Regions from separate parts of the Mus musculus genome. Here regions 1, 3 and 4 are each reported to be linked to region 2. Evidence: microRNA targets listed by miRTarBase, many of them from high-throughput screens and not tested one by one. Region 2 holds a microRNA gene; each other region holds the end of a gene's coding sequence.
What was found. Region 2 holds the annotated microRNA mmu-miR-5101 (UUUGUUUGUUUUGCUGAUGCAG, at 1,505-1,526, opposite strand). A microRNA usually pairs through its seed, bases 2 to 8, with sites in the 3' UTR of a target mRNA and lowers its output. Matches are read on the target gene's strand: a 7mer-m8 pairs with bases 2 to 8, a 7mer-A1 pairs with bases 2 to 7 and ends in A, and an 8mer does both.

Region 1 (3,103 bases), not on the chromosome of region 2:
GTTTAAACCCAGTAGTTGTTGAGAACAAGGCACAAACTCTAAGACTGATACATTCAACTACATTAAAACATTTAAATCTTATTTATTGAGAGATACTTTTAAAAAGTGAAGACAACATACATGGCAGACATTATTTGTTACACAGGGAACAGCTACAGACCACTGGAAAAGGCTCCTGCAACAACCCATGCAACAAAGTACTCAAAAAGAGGAAATGAGCATCAGCTGCCCCTGGGGAACGCTGCTTGGATGCAGACGAGAGTATCCTCTGTCCCACACCCATCTCGCTGCGCTGTATCATTGCTTTTGTAAAAACACGTATAGAATAAAGATAAAAATAAATTACATGCTCCTGCACACATGATAAAGTACCTGAGGGAGAGCTGACGGAGTACACAATCCTCCCTTCTACCTTAGGACAGAGGAGGCGGCAGTGCATTTCTTGTGTTTGAACAAATTCTAAATCAACTATTTCCAATACAATCTCTCACAACCTTCTGCGGATTCTACTAGGTGAGTATACTCATTAAGCTCTTAATGAGTCTCACTGGGGAAAGTTTTTATTTGTTTTCCCTTTCTAATACGGCAAGGTTTTTGTTTTTATCTTTAGTATTTCATTTTTGTTATACTCTTTATGTGTGAGTGAATTATGAGAAACTGAGTATTAAATAATTATATCCATTTTAGTCAGTGCTATGAACATCTGAATTTTTTTTTTTCTTTTCGAGACAGGGTTTCTGTGTGTAGCTCTGGCTGTCCTGGAACTCACTTTGTAGACCAGGGTGGCCTCGAACTCAGAAATCCTCCTGCCTCTGCCTCCCAAGTGCTGGGATTAAAGGCATGCTGCCCAGCTTTTTTTTTTTTTTTTTTTTTTTGAATTATTTTATTCACATTTTGGGGGTTCTTATTTTGTACTCAAAGAGAACATCAGCCATTTAATAGACACACTAGCCATATGGGGTGTGTGTCAAGGAGTTGGGGAGGGGGGCAGATTTCATGAGAGCGTCAAGAAGCACAACATACCAAAAAAAAATCCTCCGTAAATTCTGACAATCCTAAAGAGGAAAAATAGAAAAAGAAAATGTACCCTTTTGAGTCAGGACAGGTGAGCAGACCCAGGCCAAACTCATAGGGATTCACAGTGACTCCTAGGGACGGCTTTTGGCTCTTGGTGTTTTGTTTTGTTTTTTTAAACAAGATTGTATTTTATATCCCAGGCTGGCCTTGCATTCATGGCAACCGTCACATCTCAGCTTCTCAAGTGCCAGGATTATAATGAAGTGCTAGCACACTTATCATATTATGGGGTCAGATTATAATTTCATTTTCTTTTTGTGCTCTTAAAAAATAGTGTCAGTGTGTGTGTGTGTGTGTCGTGGTCAAACTAGATTCCCTGGAACCAGAGTTACAGTTGTGCCTGCCACTGGATGCTGGGAACCAACCCAGGCCCTCCGGAAGAGCAATAAGTGCTGTTAACGATTGAACTTTGTTTTAAGCAGGTTTCGTGTACCTCAGGCTATGCCTGAACTAAAAATATAGCTAAGAACCACACTGGACTATTTTTCTGCCTCCACTTCCATGGTGGTTTGAATATGCTCCGCGCAGGGTGTGGCACTACGAGGACGAGTGGCTTTATCGGAGTAGGTGTAACACTGTTGGAGGAAGTGTGTCACCGCCATAGAGGTGGGCTTTTAAGACTCTCCTCTTGGCCATGTGGGTGGCAGTCTGCTACCCGCTTCCTTTGGATGAAGATGTAGAACTCTCAGCTACTTCTCCAGTGCTCTGCCCTCCTGGATGCTGCCACGCTTCCTGCTATGATGACAACAGACTAAATCTCCGAACCTATAAACCAGCCTCAATGAAATGCTGGCCCTTATAAAAGTTGCCTTGGTCATGGTGTCTGTTCATAGCAGTAAAACCCAAACAAAGAAAAGTTCTCAAGTACTGAAACTACAGGCAAGTGACTTACATCACTTTAACCCAATTTGATTTCAGAAGGCAATGTCAGGCTGGGAAGATGGCTCAGTCACTATAGTACTTGCTTTGCAAGCGTGAGGACTTGAGTTGAGACCGCTAGCAACAATGTAAAAGCTGAATAGGTGATGTCCATCTGTCATCCCAGAGTTGGGGCAGCAGAGGCAGCTGAATCCCAGGAGTTCACTGGCTAATCAGCCCGGACACCTCCCTGAGCTCAAAAAAGTGAAGTGTGCCACCTAATGGTGGCATAGGCCTTTAATCCCTGCATTCCAATGGCAGAAGCAGGCAGATCTCTTTGTTCAAGACCAGCCTGGTCTACAGAGGGAGTTACAAGACAGCCAGGACTACACAGAAACCATGTCTTGAAATCACCACTCTTCCCACCACCCCCAAAAGTGAAGTATGACTGAAGAAGACGCCTGGCATCAATCGACATCTGACCTAAAACCCCACAGACACACATTATAACATATAACACAAATACAGTTTCAAAGCTTGTCAAAAATTGGAAACCCATTATTTCTTTCATATTCAATTTTCTTCGATAGAAATTCTTTACTTTTTCGGTCAATTAGTTCTTGAGAGAATAGATTGAACTTTGGAATAAAATAATGATCCAGTTTCTCTGTCCTGAGGCACTCAAGAAAGAATGCTAACAACTTATCGAAGCAGGAGCTGAGGTTCCTGGGGTCCCACTGACTGTCCTGCGGGTCCTGGGTCCACATGTGAAAGATGGCAGTTTTCACATGGTAGGAACAGAATGCATCCAGCTCTTGAAACTCTTTTTTCAACTGTTCCAAAAGGTATTTCATTAATTTTAAACATTCTTTTCTGTTAAATAAGAAAGAAGATACTCATTTTTACTTACTTACAACTGTCTCTTTTGAGACAGGGTCTCTCTATGTAACCCTGGCTTTCCTGGGACACAAGAGATCCACCCGTCCCTGTTTCCCAAGAACAAGTGCTGGAATTAAAGATGTGCGCCACCTTGTCTGTCTCTTTTTCTTTTTTAAACATACTTTCTTCTTTTCTTCCAATTTTTTAAGGCAGGGTCTCATTAGCTCAGGTTGGCCATAAACTCATCATGTAGCAGGGGCTGGCCTTTGGCTCCTAACTCTGCTCTGCC
Region 2 (3,103 bases):
TTTAATATCAAGGCCAAGAATTTCCTAAGTCATCTAGGGCAAATATGTAATACTGGCACAGTGTCTATGTGATAGATGCTACCAAGTCTCCTGTAAAATTCAAAGTCTCTTTTAAGATCTCTGGAAGCCCAGAGTATCTCAGCAGAGTCACATTCAAGACGGCAACTTTCCCCAGGTTTATGTACATTTTAATATCAGACCCTGAAAGACAGAAGAACTATTGAAAACCAATGGTATGAGCTTATAGGACCAACCCAGGTGACAGGGAGACGAGGGAACTTTCTAAGTCTAAGGTGCTCTCTGTGCACTCCTATACTCCCTGCATTTCTTCCATACCAAGAGCCTACTGTCCACAAAGTAATTCTGCTCCATTCAGAGTGAAAGGCTGTCTTGGTCCACTTTCAACTACAAAAGCGAGTGACAGAAACACATGCTATTTCCTAGCTGGCATACAAAAATAATAGTTGCACTGACATTCCTTCCACACATCTGATATTAAAATATACATAACTCAGAAAATGCCATCTTGAACATACAATCCCGAACCTCTGCCATGATGCCAGAGATCTTGTTAGAGCTTTTTAACTCTGGCGTGGTCTCAGCAGCATTTATCTCCTAGAACCCATGCTGCTACTAAGTTGTGGAACTAGAAACTAGATGACTTAAATTGGGACGTGTTAAATAATTCTTGGCCTAGAGACTAAGGAAAACCATCATGAAGGTGGTATTAGCCTCTATTGATCAAATGAATCTGGGACCCTCTGTAGGAGGGAAATTCAGAAAAGATGTAGGGGAAAAAGGTTTTAACTAAATGGAAAATTGTAATTCTTAAAAACAGTGATTTAGGTAGGCATGGTAGGACATGCCTGTAATCCTATCAGAAAGGAAGTCCCATGAAAACAGGAGAGTCTTGACTCTGAAGCCAGCCTAGATCATATAGCCAAGAACCTGTCTCCAGGTTCTTGATAGAGTGATCCAAAAAAAAAAAAAAGCTGTATTATTATGTAAACGTGTGTGTGTGTGTGTGTGTGTGTGTGTGTGTACAATTCAAAGGAAATACTCTCTGACAATTACATTAGGAAAAAACTAAGTTCTTCCCAAATTCTTGAAGAATTTTCTAGAAGATATGTTTACTCCTTTGTTGACACTCAACTTTTGGACTCAAAATGGGCTTCCAAACAAAAAGAAATAGAAAAGTTCATTCTAGCTGGACATGGTAATGCATGCCTTTAATCCCTAACTTGAATGGTGTATGTATGTAGTCAGTCTCCAAAAATAAAATGTAAAACTGGGATAGAACCATTGACTTCAAATACCTCTTTAATTTGTTCCTTCTTTGTCAAGTCAAAAGAAGCCTTTAGTAGGGCGAGATCTTCCTCGAAAGTTGCCCAAGACATCAGTGCTCTTTGCAGTGTGGCCTTCGTGTTATGGATGTATTGTCTGCACGAGTGAACATTCTTTTCCAGCATCATATACTCCTCTCTAATACTCTCACATTCTCTGGCTGCATCAGCAAAACAAACAAAAACAACAAGTCTTACAAAACGGTTTTTGTTTGTAACTGATACTAAGAAAATTATTTGCATTAACCAACAAGCATGTTGCCTAACAATATTAAAAGCAAAAGAAAGGAAAGCAGGGATGAAAACAGTTAATGTCCAAACCATCAAAGTAAAACAATACTCATCTTGAAATGATAGCTGACCCATTAAAAAGCAACTAGGATACTTTACCCGAGTTCTTATACATTTCTTCACATTTTTGAAAAGAAGCATCAAGTTGAATTAGGAACTTTTTTTCTCCAGTAAATTTCTGTGAAGGAGAGGCAAAAAAATGTTGACAGATTTTACTTTTGAAAATGTGCCAAGAAATCCAGATGTCAGTATGTGATGTCAGTAAAGGGCAAGGTTGCCAGCAATGTTTGAGTATTCAATACCACCACACTGCAGCAGCAGAAATGGAAGGAATGGTTCAGGAAGGGTGGCTAGGACTTAGGAGATGCAAGAGCACAATGACACAGGGCTATCACAGCAGATTCACCTTAACATAGCCATGTGACTTTACACTGCGTCCAGCTGATGGGAAAAAGCAAGTTTATCAGTCATAGCAGATCCAAGCCTTCCAGCTCGTCCGTCTTAGTAACATTGTGTAACTGTGTCAATAGCTTAGGCTTCCCAGGCCTTATTCACACTAATTAGTAAGTCTTCATTAGCTACATTAGGTTACTTTTTCAGAAGCTATCCCCACCTGCACAAAGAAGGCTGTGAAACTATCATTAACTAATTCAGCTGTGGAAAATCCTGGGGCTAACTCAGAGCCGACTCTAAACCGCCTGTTTATTATATTAGCGGTTCTCAACCTGTGGGTTGCATAAGACCATCAGAGAACAGATATTTACATTACAATTCATAACAGTAGCAAAATAACAGTTATGAAGTAGCAACAAATAGTTTTATGATTGGGGGTCACCAAACGTAAGGAACTGTATTAAAGTGTTACACCATTAGGAACGTTAAGAACCACTGATTATATTCTTATTTTGTGCTAGCTAACTACTATGATTACTGAACCAGTGAAATGTAAATCCAAAGCTGGGCATGATGGCACACTCCTGTAATCTAACACTTACAGGAGAATCGGGAGTTCAAGACCAACCTCATTACATATGACCCTATCTCAAAGTACAAATGAACAAACAAAAGCCCAGAAAAAAAAAACAAAACAAAACTTCAGAGAAGACAAAAAGTTATATGTAGTACTGTTCTCCATGTTTTATATATAAATAAAACCTAGCCCAGTTTAGAATGATGCCTCCAATTTGGAAGAGCATAATATTTAAATGATCAATTATAAACAGATATGTATGTCTTCATCATCCTCTTCCATTTCCTTGAAACTTATAATTTTGAGTTTTTCAAGTCTCCCCACCCTCCCTTCCCATAAAGAAGGCGCCCCATGGGGTTTCCATCTGAATTTCTGCATGGACACACCTATGCTTGTAAGGACACGCCTATGCTTTTGGTTTTTGTGACGGGTTTTTCTTTGAAGCATTTAAGCCATTTCCTACTCAAACTTGGGTGAAGGGCAGCCAAGAAGGCACCAC
Region 3 (3,103 bases), not on the chromosome of region 2:
CTGCCTATTCACACATCAGAAGCTTGCATGTGTATCACCCCACCTAAAATAATCTAGACCAGGTCTGTGAGAGATCTCATCTCTCCAAGTACCACTGCAGCTAGCAATGACAGCAATTGGAAGACCAGGAAAACAGCAAAGCTCATGTAATCTGTTTTAAGTAAACAGGCTCTGTCTCAAGAAGGAAATCTGACTTTGGAAGCATGCTGCTCACACAACCTTTAATGACACAACAGCTGTGAAGAGCAAAAAGGCAGGACCTGAAGGAGCCTGCCTCTATTCTCTAGGGTGCCTCCCGTGTCCTGAATTGGTCTGCCCATCTCTGGAAAAGAGAAATGACCTAAAGGACACAACAGGGATGCGATGTGGCTTTCTAGGTTCAAGTAACAGTTTTGGTCTGAAGACCGAAACTTTTAGAGCAGGCAAGATGGCTCAATGGATGAGGGTGCTTACCACCAAGCCTGGCAACCTGAGTTCAATTCCCAGGACCCACATGGTGGAAGGCGAGAACAGACTCCTGCAGGTTGTTCTCTGATCTTCACATACATACCGTAGCAAGCTCACCATCACACACACACACACACACACACACACACACACACACACAGATAAATAAATGTAATAAAAATTCCTATGTATTAACAAAGTGTAAGGAAGGCAGGAATAAATTCCTTCTTTCACCAAAAGCTTGTCCTAAACAAAAATTTTTTGAGACACTATTTCATATATCCCAGGTTGGTCTTGAACTTGGTATGTATGACCTTGAATTTCTAAGTCTCCCGTCTCTATTTCCCAAGTGTTAGGATCAGATATGTGGCCCCATGCCCAGTTTACTTCTGGCTGGAGACTGAGCCCAGGGTTTCATGAACGCTAGGTGACCACTTTACCAATTCAGTTCTGTCCCCAGCCTAACTAAAGAGTCTGAAAAGAAAAGTCCAGTTTTAAAGCTGAAACAAATCTGAATAGAGTTCAGAAGCCGCACTCTTCAGGGTCTTCAGAGTGATCCCTGAGGGCTTGCTTCCCTGGTGACACATGGCCGTCTAAGAGATGGAAGGTGCAACTTTTGGTTGCTTACAGGGTTTTCAAAACCTGCAGGCAGGAAGACAGATTTAGACAGGCATCCTTCTCTATTTTTTTTTTTTAAACAAAAGCCAAAATTTTACTTTTAATAATAATAATAAATCCTCCAGCTCCTAAGCTGTATGCTTTTTTGACCTATAAAGTCACCTCGAGAGTCTCTATATTTTCCCTAACATAGTAAACAATATAATTAAAGAAACCAGAAACTGCTTACTCTCCCCCAAACGCTGAAGAGAATCAACGACATGGGATCACAGCAGAAAGAGTGACCTAGTAGTACCGAATGTACAAACAGCATTTAGGAAGAAGCCCCACGCCTGGACGTTACTGACACTCCTGTCATACTTCTTACAATGTCAAATACAATGTCCCTTTCCCAGAAAGTGCAGCTCACTCAGGAGCCATCTAGTCCACACCTCAGGAAAGGTGTTACCAGTTGTCCCTGCCAAGCCTAAGCCATTTTATGAGTTCGGTATCTCACAGAAACATCTGTGGTATCAGAAGAGGAGAATGGCAAAGAGAATGAAGGCAGGCAGGCACCTGTCACTGCTGTCTGCCAAAAAGCTACTGAGCATGGGGTCCAGCAGACGGAAGGAAAAGAAAAGGAAGCACCAGGGAAATGACTGCTTTTGGTTCCAAACCCGAAACATGTACACACACACACACACACACACACACACACACATACACACACACACACACACACTTGCATGCTTACGTGCAGGGCTCCACCAAAAATAGCAGCTGGTCTGCACGAGGGACTCTGCCATTCCTGGAGTCAAGAAACGAAAAATGATGGCCTTGGAGCCCCACCTCCATGACAGCCACAGTCCAAGAATTAGAACAATTTATACCACATCACAGTCTGCAAAGGAATGGACTGATAGTCCTGGGCGAGGAGGGTGAGGGCTTTGACAAGGCTGGGGGCAAGGTGAGCTATCCCAAAAGCACAGCTGTGACAATCTTTTGATTGCTTTGTGTCTTTCTATAATCTCTGTCCTCTTCTGAAATTGAAAATGGTACCCAACCCTCAGAGAGCGCAAGGGGCATCAGATGCACCTCTGGAAGACCATTCCTCGGCCCCTCCCTGTCAAAGGGCTCCCCCTATGAGCTGCTGATCACACTACTTTCCACCCTAAGCAGAGCCAACCTCCTGTTCTTTCAGTTTTGCACACCAGCATCTGAGGCCATCATATCCAGGACACAGAGGCAAGCGTGCTTCTGTATCCACAGCAGAGCTGGTCATCTTCTGGAGTCAGATCTGTGTTCCAGGGTCTGGTCAATGCGTCTTTACAAGAGTGAGACCATGCGTGTATACACAGACAGACTATTCTGGAAAGGATTCCTGGATATTTTGACACTTCCCCTAAAAGCAATTACCTTCCTTGGGGAAAGATGGTTCAGACCCTGGGTGCCCTGTTTCTAACTTCTGGAAAGGCAGCTTGTTCTGTCCAGTTGTCAATGAGGAAGTAGGAGGAACCCAACATTTGCAGTTACAACGAGATTTTGTAGTTTGGTTTTTTTTTGTTTGTTTTTGTTTTTTTTTTAAAAAAAGTTCTATGTGGAAATGAGCGGGACAATGATAAAAATAAACATAATTAAAATTCCAAACCAAAACACAGCTCTTGGCCCTGTCCCCAATCAGTCCTCCAAGACCACAATCTCCACATTGTGGACCTGATGCTGGTGTTCTTCCATTTCGGCTACCACTTTCTCCTCAGTCCTCAGCCCTGTCTCCAAGATGACTGCTTTGCCCTCAGTGTCGTCAGCCTCGGAGTCTGGGGCAGGGTCGATTTCAATGATGGTCTGCCCATCCTCAGAGGTGCTTTCAACAGCCTGGATTGCTGACGTCAGGCCGGACTCCATGGCCACCAGCTCCATGGGGCTCACCATGGTGGCCATGTTGCCCAGGGAACTCCCATCCTGCATAGAGGTGGAGCTTAGCAGTGCCAAACTTGAGGAAGGGTGGATGGTCACTGTGTCTGGTGAGTTGCTCTTGGCAGAGGAAACCACCGTGGCATAG
Region 4 (3,103 bases), not on the chromosome of region 2:
GAGCATGGAGTAACTGGGGCTGTGTCAGTTTTTCCCAAGGACCATAGTTCCCTCCTTCAAGGGACCATGGCTGAGCATTTTGGGGTGCTCACAGGACCCAGGGACCTCAATGGCCCTGGTCTTAACCGTTCACGAGAGAGCCTGAGCCTGCCTTCCCATCCTCTGGAGCACCTGGGCCCAGCCCTTGGAGGAGGTGGGGGAGGCAACACCAGCAGCAGTGGCCTTCCCTTGAGTCCCGCACACAGAGACGCCATCGGCCGGAGTGGTATGATTTTACGGAGTCCCCGGCCAGACTTTCGGCCTAGGGAAGCTTTTCTCGGCAGAGACCCATTCCACAGTTTAAAGAGACCCAGGCCACCTTTTGTTAGAGGCCCTCCGTTCTTTGCACCAAAACGCCCATTCTTCCCTCCCAGGTACTGATGGAAATCTGGGGAAGGCATTTTGAACAGTCTATAGAGAGCATTGGAAGTAGCAGTTTGGGTTTTTGTTTAAATTTGGTTTTCCTTTCTTGTTTTTTTTTTTCCACTTTGTTTTTTTTTTTTTGTTTTGTTTTGTTTTGTTTTGTTTTTTTAATGAAGGGCCCTCCTTCCAAATTCAGAAAGCATACATGGTAACAGTTTGCTATTATCCAGTCCTCTCTCCACACTTAGGGCCTTTCCAATTTGTTTGTATTTTTTCTTTAAAAAAACAAAACACACAGGCATAAGTAAACATAACCAAAGCCACATTATTTGGCTGGGGGAGTGGGGAGGATAACAGTATTTATCCCATCTATTGAGAGATTACTTACATCGAAATAAAACTTCGGTCAGTACAGGTAATAACGTGCAATGTTGGGGTGTTATTTGGGTCTTGGCCTTGCTGATGGTCAGTAGGAGGAGCCCTGTCTCCTTCCCTCTCCAGCTAAGCAGCTTCTGTAACCAGCTTGGCTCCCTTCTTTGTATTTTCTACTCTGCAGAGGACCGAGAGTGTTTGCAGAGGGGAAACAATGGGCAGTGTGGGGCCTGTCGACTTTATTTGCTTTACTCTAAAAGCATGTGGAAACAGAATGCTTTCCTCTTTCCTTTTTTAAGCAGCCTCGTCTGAACTATTACCAGGCAGTGACTCTGAGGCAGTACAAACTTCATTATGTGCAGTAAAAAGTTTTCTCTTGCTAGATGTGGTAGCACACACAAGTCCAGCACTGGGAGGCAGGGGCAAGAGAAGGGCACGTTTGAGGCCAGCCCGGGCTATAGAGTAGAACTTTATCTCAGAAAGAAAGGAAAGTTTCTTTGTTGAAAGAAAAAGCTGAATATAATAATTTCAAGGTTAAAATGGGAAATGATCACAATATGTAAAGCTAGGGACAGACCACTCAGTGACCAACTGTCTTTTGTAAACAAGGAAAAGGGAAACATTTTGATGGTTCTCCGTATCTATTCTAAGCCCTTGTCTCCTGCTTTCCCTTACTTTTTCTCCCTCAGTTATTCTGACTAAATTGATAATGAATGTAGGTAAAATGTTGTCCCTGCCTTCTTAAAAATTTAAGTAGACACTTAACTTTACTATGGTGCCTAACTGGTGGTTTTCAGCAAACATTAACTATTAGAGAAAGGAAAATATTGTGTCTTTATAGTTTCTTTCTACCCTCACCCATCACAGTCCTGTATTCATCCTGTTCTTGCTGTTTCAGAGGCGATTGGGTGGTATCCTTACATGATACTGCGTAGGCGTGTCTTAGAGGCAGGGGGTACTGAGAAAGCAGCGTCCTGAGGAATCCATGTTATCCCTCAGCAAATAGCATCTTGGTGCTTTCAGTACCCACCTCTCACCCTCACCCTCACCCTCATTTGAGTTGCCTGAGTCATTGCTGTGGAGGGGAGAGCTTTCTTCCCTGCATTAAAAACTTTGTTTGTGTTTCTGCATCGAATCCCTAAGGGGAAGACAATCGTGGATCTTGGAATGTTTCTGTCTTTGTATCTGGGAAGCAGACACTGCACACTAGGTTTTCTGGTAGTGTGTTGCACCGGGGCACACGCTGAGGACCTCCAGCTAGGTGTGCTGCACCAGTGTGTTGAGCTTTTGAAGGAATTCCAGCAAGTTCACACAGGACTCTACAGAGGAAAGAAAAGGAGGGCTTTGGATTCCTCAGTGGGGTGGGTAGGGAATGGAGGGAAGGGTGGCCTGTGGTTGAAGACAATCCTTTTGTCTTGGAGCAAACCACTTTTTTTTTTTCCTGAAGAAAGGCTGTCCAGCAGAGCCCGGGAGCTGTGATCTCTGTGAGGTACAGCAAGAATCCTCAGAATTCACATCCGTTTTGAGCCAGTTCTTTCCTCTCAAGCCTTTCTGCCCTATAGGTCTCCTCACAAAAATGCATGATATCATGACCTCGTGTTTTGGGTTGGGTATAACATAGCAAAGCAAGGGAAATATAGTTATATACTGAGTCTTAAGACATTTGTTTAGTAAAAAAGAAAAAAAGGTATCAAACAGAGAATGGGGGCGGGGGCGGGGAAATTGTGACTTTCAGAATTGATTTTTTTTTCCCAGAAATTAAGTGGGGGTATTTTTCAGTCTAGAATAAAAGAATGTGAATTCTTTCTACCGCTCTTATTTAAACTTAAATATACTGTTTACTTGAAAAGGCTCTCTTGACTATTTGATTTTCTAAGAAAACAGGGAAGTATCAGGAAAGTGGTTTCTGAAATGTTGAAGCAGGATAACTGTCTTCAAAAGCATAGCGGCCGCCACAAGACAGGAGTGCGTTGTACAGTTCAAGGACGGACTTTTCAGGGCTTGGGGTTTGTGGGATATTTTTTGTTTTGTTTTGTTTTTGCCACAAGATCTTCAGTGTGTTTGTTTCAGGGTGGAAGTGGGTGTTATATGAAGCTGTCAGATATTTTAAGGAAATCTTCCTACAACAGTAAATGAAGACATCTGTATATATGTGATATAGTGAAACAAAAGACATTTCTGGTATTCATAAAGATAAAACAAGGATTTTATTCTTCCTGTGTCTGTGATTTAAACTCGGTACCATACTCTGGCTTTTGTATTTCACCCTAAGTTTAAAAATAAATAAACAAGATATTTTTTAAAGAATGCACAACATAGTGTGTCTTAG

Region 1: miRTarBase lists Cgas as a target of mmu-miR-5101. Seed matches in the 3' UTR shown: 7mer-A1 at 1,486-1,492, 7mer-A1 at 1,181-1,187, 7mer-A1 at 1,176-1,182, 7mer-A1 at 594-600 and 7mer-A1 at 564-570.
Region 3: miRTarBase lists Gmeb1 as a target of mmu-miR-5101. Seed matches in the 3' UTR shown: 7mer-A1 at 2,614-2,620, 7mer-A1 at 2,608-2,614 and 8mer at 2,604-2,611.
Region 4: the mRNA of Rprd2 is a reported target of mmu-miR-5101. Seed matches in the 3' UTR shown: 7mer-A1 at 686-692 and 7mer-A1 at 2,938-2,944.

The regions. Positions count from the first base shown.
Region 1 is chr9:78,430,460-78,433,562 of GRCm38, forward strand. Cgas (cyclic GMP-AMP synthase) reads right to left here. Exons shown (of 5, transcript NM_173386.5): 5 at 59-2,808. The coding sequence ends at 2,466. Among named protein-coding and RNA genes, the nearest start is that of Cgas, 11 kb to the right of the region's middle.
Region 2 is chr12:75,907,577-75,910,679 of GRCm38, reverse strand. Mir5101 (microRNA 5101) reads right to left here and starts at 1,577; the gene lies at 1,495-1,577. Syne2 (spectrin repeat containing, nuclear envelope 2) reads right to left here. Exons shown (of 116, transcript NM_001005510.2): 15 at 1,734-1,812; 16 at 1,317-1,504.
Region 3 is chr4:132,223,044-132,226,146 of GRCm38, forward strand. It overlaps Gmeb1 (glucocorticoid modulatory element binding protein 1), which reads right to left. Exons shown (of 10, transcript NM_020273.2): 10 at 1-3,103. The coding sequence ends at 2,722. Among named protein-coding and RNA genes, the nearest start is that of Ythdf2, 12 kb to the left of the region's middle.
Region 4 is chr3:95,760,997-95,764,099 of GRCm38, reverse strand. It overlaps Rprd2 (regulation of nuclear pre-mRNA domain containing 2), which reads left to right. Exons shown (of 11, transcript NM_001368178.1): 11 at 1-3,103. The coding sequence ends at 420. Among named protein-coding and RNA genes, the nearest start is that of Tars2, 7.6 kb to the right of the region's middle.